2 linked regions of the Ovis aries genome follow. The protein of the gene in region 2 interacts with the protein of the main gene of each other region in a biochemical or structural test. Links are inferred from orthologs where the notes say so. Each region holds a gene or a part of one and is shown on either strand. Other genes may lie near its edges.

What was found.
Region 1: the proteins of RLIM (region 2) and LHX3 form a complex in vitro, tested with the Homo sapiens proteins (2 studies listed by BioGRID). The link is inferred for Ovis aries from reciprocal best matches to the Homo sapiens genes RLIM and LHX3.

What each region holds. Positions count from the first base shown.
Region 1 is NC_056056.1:3,245,814-3,250,322, forward strand, and holds the start of LHX3 (LIM/homeobox protein Lhx3), read left to right. Parts: upstream 1-1,478; 5' UTR 1,479-1,542; coding exon 1,543-1,636; intron 1,637-3,811; coding exon 3,812-3,983; intron 3,984-4,509. UniProt on the Homo sapiens protein: Transcription factor.
Region 2 is NC_056080.1:66,779,979-66,784,210, forward strand, and holds the start of RLIM (E3 ubiquitin-protein ligase RLIM), read right to left. Parts: upstream 2,830-4,232; 5' UTR 2,619-2,829; exon of another isoform or gene 2,399-2,618; intron 2,091-2,398; 5' UTR 1,643-2,090; intron 813-1,642; 5' UTR 750-812; intron 365-749; 5' UTR 251-364; intron 1-250. UniProt on the Homo sapiens protein: E3 ubiquitin-protein ligase.

The sequences.
Region 1 (4,509 bases), on a different chromosome or scaffold from region 2:
CCCTGGGTCGGGTCTCCTGCCCGAACTGCACTCCCCAAGGGCCATTCGGTCACAAGGACGTTGGGAAATAATGGAGGCATTGTTGGCCAGTCGGCCAGATGCCCAGTGCATAGGCCCGCCCGCCCCTTCCCCAGTCAGACCACACATGGCCCCTCTCAGGCAGGCTTCCACAGCAGCTGACACTCAACGGCCGACACCCCTATGCACCCAACACCCGCTCAGCTCCCTGGCCTGGACGCCCTTGTCTTGTCCTGGGGAACAAACGGAGCACAAAGTGAAGGGGCCCCTTAACTTTGCCTGCATGGGGCTTTTGCTCAAACTGAGATGTGGGGTCTGCTCAGAGCTCAGAGGGGACTGTGTTTCTCCTACCCAGGTCCTTCCACACTGGCCTGCAAGTTAAGTGTACAGACCAGGCCACCGGAGGCCAAGCAGAGGCAGGGTGACTATGGGGCATCACTGAGGGCTCCCAGGTGGAACCTCCTGGAGGATGGTACCAACCCCTAGTCCCCCAGCACTTTCTGGAGGCCCCCCTGCTCCTGCCATGCTCTGAACTGCCAGGACCCACAGTGCTGTGGGCTGACTGTGGGTGACGCAGGGGGTTGGCCTGGACTGTGATGGGCACCCTCCGGGGTAGGTGTGTCTTTACGTGCTAGGGTGGTGGGTTCCTGCAAGCTCACCTATTTGGACTGGGGGAGGAGGGCAGAATATGGGGAAACGGGAGCCAGGGCTTCCTCCCGTGCTAGAGGGTGTGGAAGGAAAAGAGTGGATCCCGGCATTCCCAGCTCCGTCCCTCCTGACCTGGAGTCTTGGCTGCATCGTGGAGTCGAGCCGAGGACACTGGGTTCCCTCCGAAGACTCCCCTTGCTTCCCCGCTCCCACTCCTGGGCTGCAGTGCCCAGGATGGGTCCCAGAAGCTGCTCAGAGCAGGAAGGTCTGAGGTCGGGTCCGCTCCTGGCGGCTTCCCTGTGAGCCAGTGGGCGCCACACTCACCCTCTCTGGGTCTTGGGTCTCGCACGTGCCACCAGGCACTGTGACCAAGCCTCCCAGCTCGGAACCTCTCGGCCCCGAGCCTCAGCGGCGGTAGGATCCAGCTCCCTCCCTGACCGGCAGGCTACCCTCCGGCTTTCGCGCCGGAACCCAGGCCTCAGCCCTGAGCCGGCGCCGGGGCAGGAAGCTTCGGGGCCTGGTCAAGCGCTCTCGGGCAGCGCTGACACGGCTCCTCCCCTGCCCGTCCTAATCCCTGGGCCCGGCACTCGGGGCGGTTTCCCCGCACCGCAGTTCTCCCGGCAAAGGCGCGCAGAGTCCGCGGACGCCAGCGGCGCGTCTCCGCGACCCCGGCCCCGCCCCGCCCCGCGGCCCCGCCCCCCCGCCGCTCCGCCTCCGCGCGGCCCGAGGCTCCGGGCCCCTGGGCGGCCCGCGGGCGCAGCGCCCAGCAGCGCCGGGAGTCGTGCAGACGCCGGCCCCGGGCCATTGAGGCCGTAGTCTCGCCGAGCCCCCGGAAAGTTCAGGACCGGAGAGGCTCTGCGGCGGGCGGCGGGACCCATGGAAGCGCGAGGGGAGCTGGTCCCGGGCCGGGAGTCGGCGGGCGGCGACCTGCTGCTGGCGCTGCTGGCGCGGAGAGAAGACCTGCGCCGAGGTGGGTGCCCCGGCCGAGCGGCTGCGCCCGGGAGGGCGGACCTCGTGGAGACTCAGCGGCCCTCGCTCCCTTCCCAGCCCGGCCACGGAGGCGGCGGGAGCCAGGGTGCGTGGGAGGGAATGGGTGCGAGGGCCCCAGCACGGCGCGTCCCTACCTGAGCATCCCAGCAGCGGGCTCGCCTCTGGGCCCCTGGAGCTGTGTCGTCGGGCGTTTCGTCGCGGCGCTGGTGCCGCCCAGGCTGGGGGCCCTCTGGGTCCCAGGACTGGTTTGGAAAATACTCTTCCTTTAGGGAGAGTGTGCAGAGAGCAAACGTGTGTCCCAGTGTCGATGGGGTAGGAGAATCTCCGTGAAGGCTGCCTGCACCCAGACGCGCCACACTTTCCGGGCGAAGTCAGACACAAGGGCCAGCATGGAGCTGGACCCCGGTGGCTGAACTCCCTTAGCTAGGGTCCTGGTGTCTGCGCTCACATGCACCTGCTCCATTGGCAGGGCTGGTCCTCTTGCAGGAAAACCCCCAGCGCCTTGGCTTCCCCGTGAACTGGGATGGTCCTCCACGAGCTTCCAAGCAGGCGGGACCCACAGGATGGGATGGAGCTGGCCCTGGAAGGGTGGGCAGTGGCGGGGTGGGAGCAGGTGGGAAAGGGGTTACATCCAGGCTTTGGGGGTCTCCTCCGTCTCCTACTTCTTTATTTATTTATTTTCCGACGGTTCCTGGGAGGGGTGGCCACGGGAGCTGGGAGGAAGGGGTGGGAGGGCGGAGAGACAGGAAGGGAGGGGCGCGGGCTCTGCGTGAAACGTCTCAAGAGAGCCGGAGGGGATCGGGCCGGCAGGCAAGCGCAAGGCTGTGCTGGGCCCGCCAGCGCCGAGGGTAGGAGACCCCGTCAAGGCTGGAGTCGCCATGCAGCGTAAGGCCCGGGTCGCCAGGGCTTCGCGAGAGCGCGAGGGGCGCGGCGGGAGAGGATTTTGCTCGACGCGGGGCTCCGCGGGTAGCGCGCTCCAGGAGCTGTCCGGGCCGCGGTGCTGAATCCGCGCCGCGCGGGCCTGTGCAGCGACCAGCTCTAAGGCGGGTGTCCTCGCCCGCCGCCCTGCCATTGCCTACCAGGGTTGGAGGGCCAGGGCAGGCAGCAGATCCTCAGGCTCCGCACCCAGGGCCGCGGTTTTGCCCGACGCGGGACCCGGTCCTTCGTGGTGCCCAGGGCTGTAGGAGGGAGGTTGATTCCGTTTCTCTCAGCATGGAGCAAAGGAAGGTCCCTCGCTGGCCCTTTCGCCGGCTGCCAGGCCGGCCTGGGGCTGGAGGGGGTCCACTGTCAGCGAGGTGAGTGTGCTGAGGTGGTGATATATTTGAGTAGGTTCCAGCTCCTGCTCAAGGCTCTCTGCCCTCGGGAGACCTTTTCTAAATTAACAGGTTGTCCTCACGCCCTGAACACCCTGCAAAGCACCCCCATGGACCTGTGGCTCTCAAAGGCAGGCCCTGCATTTTCCCAGCCTGGTTCCCCCCGAGGCCTGCAGTCCCAGGGGAGCAGAACCCGAGTGTCTCTATGGGGAAGGCAAAATACCTACTGTGTGTGCTCAGGCATCCATGTTTGAGCAAGAGGACAGAGCGTCCATACATCCAGTCTATGCACAAGTACTCCCCAGGGCCACCCAAAGACAGGCAGGGCATCAGTATTCATTTTGGTAGCCTGGGGACAGGGCCACGGGGCTGGGCAGCCACACCTGCCACAAGTCTCGGGCTACCATGGCCCCTGACTGTGCGAGGAAAGAGGGCCATTGGGTGGTGGATGCCCCATGGCCCATGTGTGCCGGGCCTCTGGTGATGGTAAGGACCTGGTTTCCAGCCCAGCCTCTGAGACAGCCCCCGGGGGCGAGGGTTTCATTTGAGCTCAAAGTTCGTCCTTCGTGCACTGGAAACGTTTTGCAGTTGAGGGTATCTGCCCCGGGCATGTTTCTAAGCCTAGCTTCAGTTGTCCTGGATTTCCGCTGTGGGCCAGGCACGGACTTCCGAGCCACACTTTCCCTGAACTCAGGGAGCTGGGTGGCCACCCAAGCCAGCCAGGGACGAGGGTGTGCCGGGAAGGGGGCCTCCTGGCAGCCCGGTCCTGGGAGCTGGGTGCGATGGGGAGGCCTCGACTCTGTGCGGCGGCCCTGAGCGCGGTGGCTCCTCCCCGCCTGCAGAGATCCCGCTGTGTGCCGGCTGCGACCAGCACATCCTGGACCGCTTCATCCTCAAGGCTCTGGACCGCCACTGGCACAGCAAGTGCCTCAAGTGCAGTGACTGCCACGCGCCGCTGGCCGAGCGCTGCTTCAGCCGTGGGGAGAGTGTGTACTGCAAGGACGACTTCTTCAAGTGAGCCCGCCAGCTGCCTGGGAGGGAGGGGTGGCGCACCCAGGGGGACCCCCGGGGCCTTTGCGTAACCAAGCCTGGAGCCCTGAAACCACCCCCCGTCTCCACACCCCTCCTGTTCCCCAAACAGGGCACCCCAGGGCCTCTCTGTTGGCGGCTGGGCTGGCCCACTAACAATCTTTTAAAGTAATTAATTTTGTGAATCGTTGAAGCAGTCGTTAAAATGATAATCCCAAGTTCGTAAACCTCTATTGGACGTGCTCCCTCTTTGTGTTGGCCTTGTATTCGTGCTTAATGGTGGGGATGGGGCTCCTACCCGGCAGAGGACTCATGGGTTTGCAGGTCGGCCCGGTGGCCAGGGCCCTGCCCTTCCGAATTCACCTCCCCCATCCGGGCACAGAGGACAGCTGTGTGCCCCAGAGCATCCGGATCCCCTTCTCGGTAGTCCCTGCGGGTAGTCTCTGTGACCAGGGGCAGGGCCGGGGAAGCCGTCCTCCAGGAACCGCCCTGCCCCGCACCGCCTTCGCGG
Region 2 (4,232 bases):
CCTCTGAGTCTCAGTTACTCTGTAAAACAGGTAACATCCTCATGAAGCTTGGCTGTAAGGATTACAAAATCACACATGTGAAGCACAGGACCTAGCACATAAGTATTCAATACAGATTAATTATGAATTTGGGCTAATTACCCATCCTAATTTGCATGGGACAACCCTGGTTTCCACCTGTTGTCCAGGAAAATAATGTTCCTTTTTCTCTTAAAAGCATCCTAGCTAGGGCAATAAATTATGTGGTTACCTTAACAACGATGATGAAAGAGGTTGATATCAATTAGAGTATTATATATTATGACTTTTCGGATCTTGAAGCAAAAATATCAAATGTCACACAAAATAACTTGAGATTAGATTCCTGTAATATAGTCTACTGTTAGTTCATTTAGTTATTCAATAAACATTTAAATACTATTTATTTATACTCATCCCATTCCAACAGTGATTAAAGGAAGCAAATTTCTATTTTGTTCTTTCCATTCTATACAGGTACTGGTAAATTTCAGACATTATTTTAAAAGAAGAAAATTGACAGAGCACTAATGAGGTTCCAGCTACTGAGAAACACTACCCTTTGAATTCCCAGTGAAAAACACCCATTCTGACCATTAAGAATGCCCGACACCAACTAACATATATCAAAGAAGCCCATTTTATTACAGGGACCCCAAAACAGAATAAATATTTTAAAACATGCATTCTACACATAAATCATCAGGAGACGCAACAAAAAATAAAATTACCTGACTGTTATGACATAGTATTGTATACAATAAACTGGATTTTAGTTTTCTTCACTCTCTGCTCTAGAAAAAAAAAGAATCCATTATTCTTCCTCTTTTATAAGATAAGACATTTTCTTTGAAACAGACACATCCTAAAAATTACATATCCTATGTATTTTAGATACACACCCACCATAATTCAACCTAATTCCACATTAGTATTAGGATATTTGGGGAGACTAAGAAGGTCAGAGGGAACCAACAATCTTATATGTTAGATAGAAGATATCTTTTAAAGGCTAACAGCCCATCTACCTTTTAATATAAACTTACTTAAAATGGGCTTTTACGCATCAGATCAGTAATTATTTTCAGATTCTCACAGTTACTTTCAAGAACTTATTTGGTACGTTACACTAGCCTAAGGCAGGAACTAAAGTATGAAAAATCATCAGGACATCTTAGGCTAAAGAAAAACACTTTTTCAGTAAGAGAAGAGTATTACAATAAAATTTTAAAAATATTTAGATTGGTCTTCCTGGGCATTTTATTTCTACAACTTAGAAAACTGATTCTGGGGCAGCGATAACTGTGCCAGCCTGCTCACAAGTCATCCAGGACGGACATAATGTACCTGATGGGGTGATAAGTGTATTTTGTCTTCAATAATGACAAGAATTCAAAAAAAAATGATTAGTAGTAGTTTATTTCTTCCTCCTTTCAATCATCCAAAGCCACTGCGGTTAATTCTGATTCAGGAAATGCGGGCTCCTTATTTCCAGCAAAAAAATAATTATTGTGGGGCCTTGCTAAGCCTGAATGACAACCTAATATAAATGCTTCCTCTTTCTGCAAAACGAAAGAACGACCTAAATAGACAAGCCTGCTAGGCCTCAGATTCCCGGACTAACCTGTGGAATAAGTATGGTGAAACTGTCTAGGGAAGGAACGTGGCTGTCTCCTCCATCTTGAAATTAATCAGCATAAGGGAAAAAGGGACGGAGTATTCAGGAAGCAGAAGCCCAACCGGTTAATACTAGTTACTAAAGCTATGGCGTACGTGGCAGGTACCGCCCGCAGAAGCCGAGACCCTTAGGCATTTTTGAGGGGGGAGGGGTTGGGTTGTGCACGGATTGAACGGAAATTAACTTCAAAATCATTTGGCCCAATTCCCACCCTCAGCCAGGGAAAAACAACAAACACGCAACGGCTTTTCCCTCCCTTTTGGGGGGAATCCGTGCAGTGGTATCCGGCAAAGGATACGCCAGGGTTATTCAAGCAAAGGAGTAAACCACATTTGTCTTAGATCCTCCGGGAAGATGTCATCGTGGCCTCAGGGGGCGCCTAATTGATAGTGCCCTGCAGAAGCAGAAGGCTCAAAATGGGGTTTTGCAAATCCTGGGAAATCTAAAGGCCCAAGAGTTCCCAGCATCTAACTTAGAGCAGCCTGATTTTTTTCCCCATTTCCTAAACCCAAGCCCGCCATGTAAAAGAGAGGGGGAGGAGGAGGAGGCGAAGGAAGTCTCCAGGGAGGAGAGGAAAACCTAAGACGATCAAAGATTCTCATGCCTGAGGCCAACATTCGAAAATCGCCTCCCCCAAATTCTTAAGGTTCTGGAGGGCCCCAGCTGCGGCTCGCGCGGCCACGGAGAGGAAGTACTACCTACCTCCTTCCCCTTCTTCAAAAAGCCTGTCGACTATACACCCAGCTAAAATGGCAGCGGAGATTACGCCACGGAGCCCCCCGCAGCAACCGGTGCCTGGGGTCCGGAGGCGGCGATGAGCCTCCGCCACGATGCACCAGTCAGGCCATTTTGAGAGAAAGCAGCAGATGGGGCTTCGCTGTCTTCCTCTCGCTCTCCATCCATTTCCCAAGGCTTCACTTACTCGGTTTTGGTGTCGGGATCCGACTCGGTCGGTTCGGCCGCCGCCGCCGCCGCCGCCGCCACCGCCGCCGGGGCTCCTGCGCGCCTCCCCTGCCGCAGCTCTCAAGCCCGCCTCCGATGAGTCGCTGGTCGAGACCCGCCTCTAGCCCAGCGCCTGCTCGGAGACGTTGCTCAGGCAGCCATTATCTTCCCCATTGTTACCAAGCAGCGACAGGAAATGCCTGCCCACAACAGGAAGTGATGATGCCGTGTCCTGGCCCCGCAGCCGCAGCCGATTATCCAGTCCCAGCCGATTATCCAATCCCAAGCGATTCCTTGAAAAACCCTCGGTGAGAGGAGGAGGTGGCCGGCTGACGACGCGGCAGGGCGGGCCGCGGCCTGGAAAAGGAAAGCTGCTGTGCCGCCCACCATGTGACAGGCCCCACCCTCCTCCGCCATTTTGAATTGTGGCGAGAAATTCTGAGAGCTGTGAGAACCTTTCCCATTTTGAAATCTGGAGGACGTCACCGAATGACTGCTGGAAGCCCTTTTCAGAGAGTGAGAAACGCGATATTAGTCTAACCTGACGTCGATTCACACAGTCAGGACCGGCTAATACAGCATCCTACTTTTATTCGAATACATTTATCGAATGCCAACTGTAGGTGTCAGACACTAGTATAGATGTTGGGGATACAGCGCAAATTAAAGCAGACCAAAATCCCAGTTGTTGTGTATCTTTATATTCTTGGGGGGGAGGGACAGTAGATATATATATATATATATATATATATATATATATATATATATATAGTACATAAAATTAATGATAAATGCTAGGGAGAAAAATAAGGCGAGGGAAGGTGGGTGGGAGAGAGCCCGGTGGCGGCAAATGGGAATTGCAGTTTTAAAAAGAGTGGTCCGAGGTGGCCTCTCTCAGACGGTAATTCTGAAATTCCTGAGAAGGGGCGGTGTTTGTAAAAGGGTGGGAAAATCTGATAGCGTTAGAATTTAAGGGCGGTTAAGGAAGGCCTTTCTTAGATAGTAATGCATGAAAGAAGGTACAGTACGAGCTAGCAAGCAACAACTCTCGTTTTCACAGTTAAGAAAAACAACACATGGGCTTCCCTTGTAGCTCAGTCGGTAAATAATCTTTCTGCAATGCAGGAGACCTGGGTCGATTCCTGGGTCAGGAAGATCCTCTGGAGAAGGAAATTGCAATCCAATATAGTATCCTTGCCTGGAAAATCCCACAGACAGAGGAGCCTGGCGGGCTACAGTCCACGGGGTCCCAAGAGTCAGACACGACTTAGCGACTAAACCACCACCACCAAGGAAGGCCTTTCTTAGTAATGCGTGAAAGAAGGTACAGTATGAGCTACCAAGCAACAACTCTCGTTTTCACAGTTAAGAAAAACAACCACAGTTTTAGGGTGTTATCTCGTTTCTTTTCTCATTTTTCTGCTTTCTGTGTTTTCAGGTAACAGTCCAGCTACACTGGCTTTCTTAGTATTCTTCCAGCCAACTAAACTTGTTCCCACCTCTACAACTTTACTTAGGCTGGCATTTTCTTCATATCTTTGCTCTCATCACCCAAACCTTTTCTCAATTGTCATCTCCCCAGAAAACACTTCCC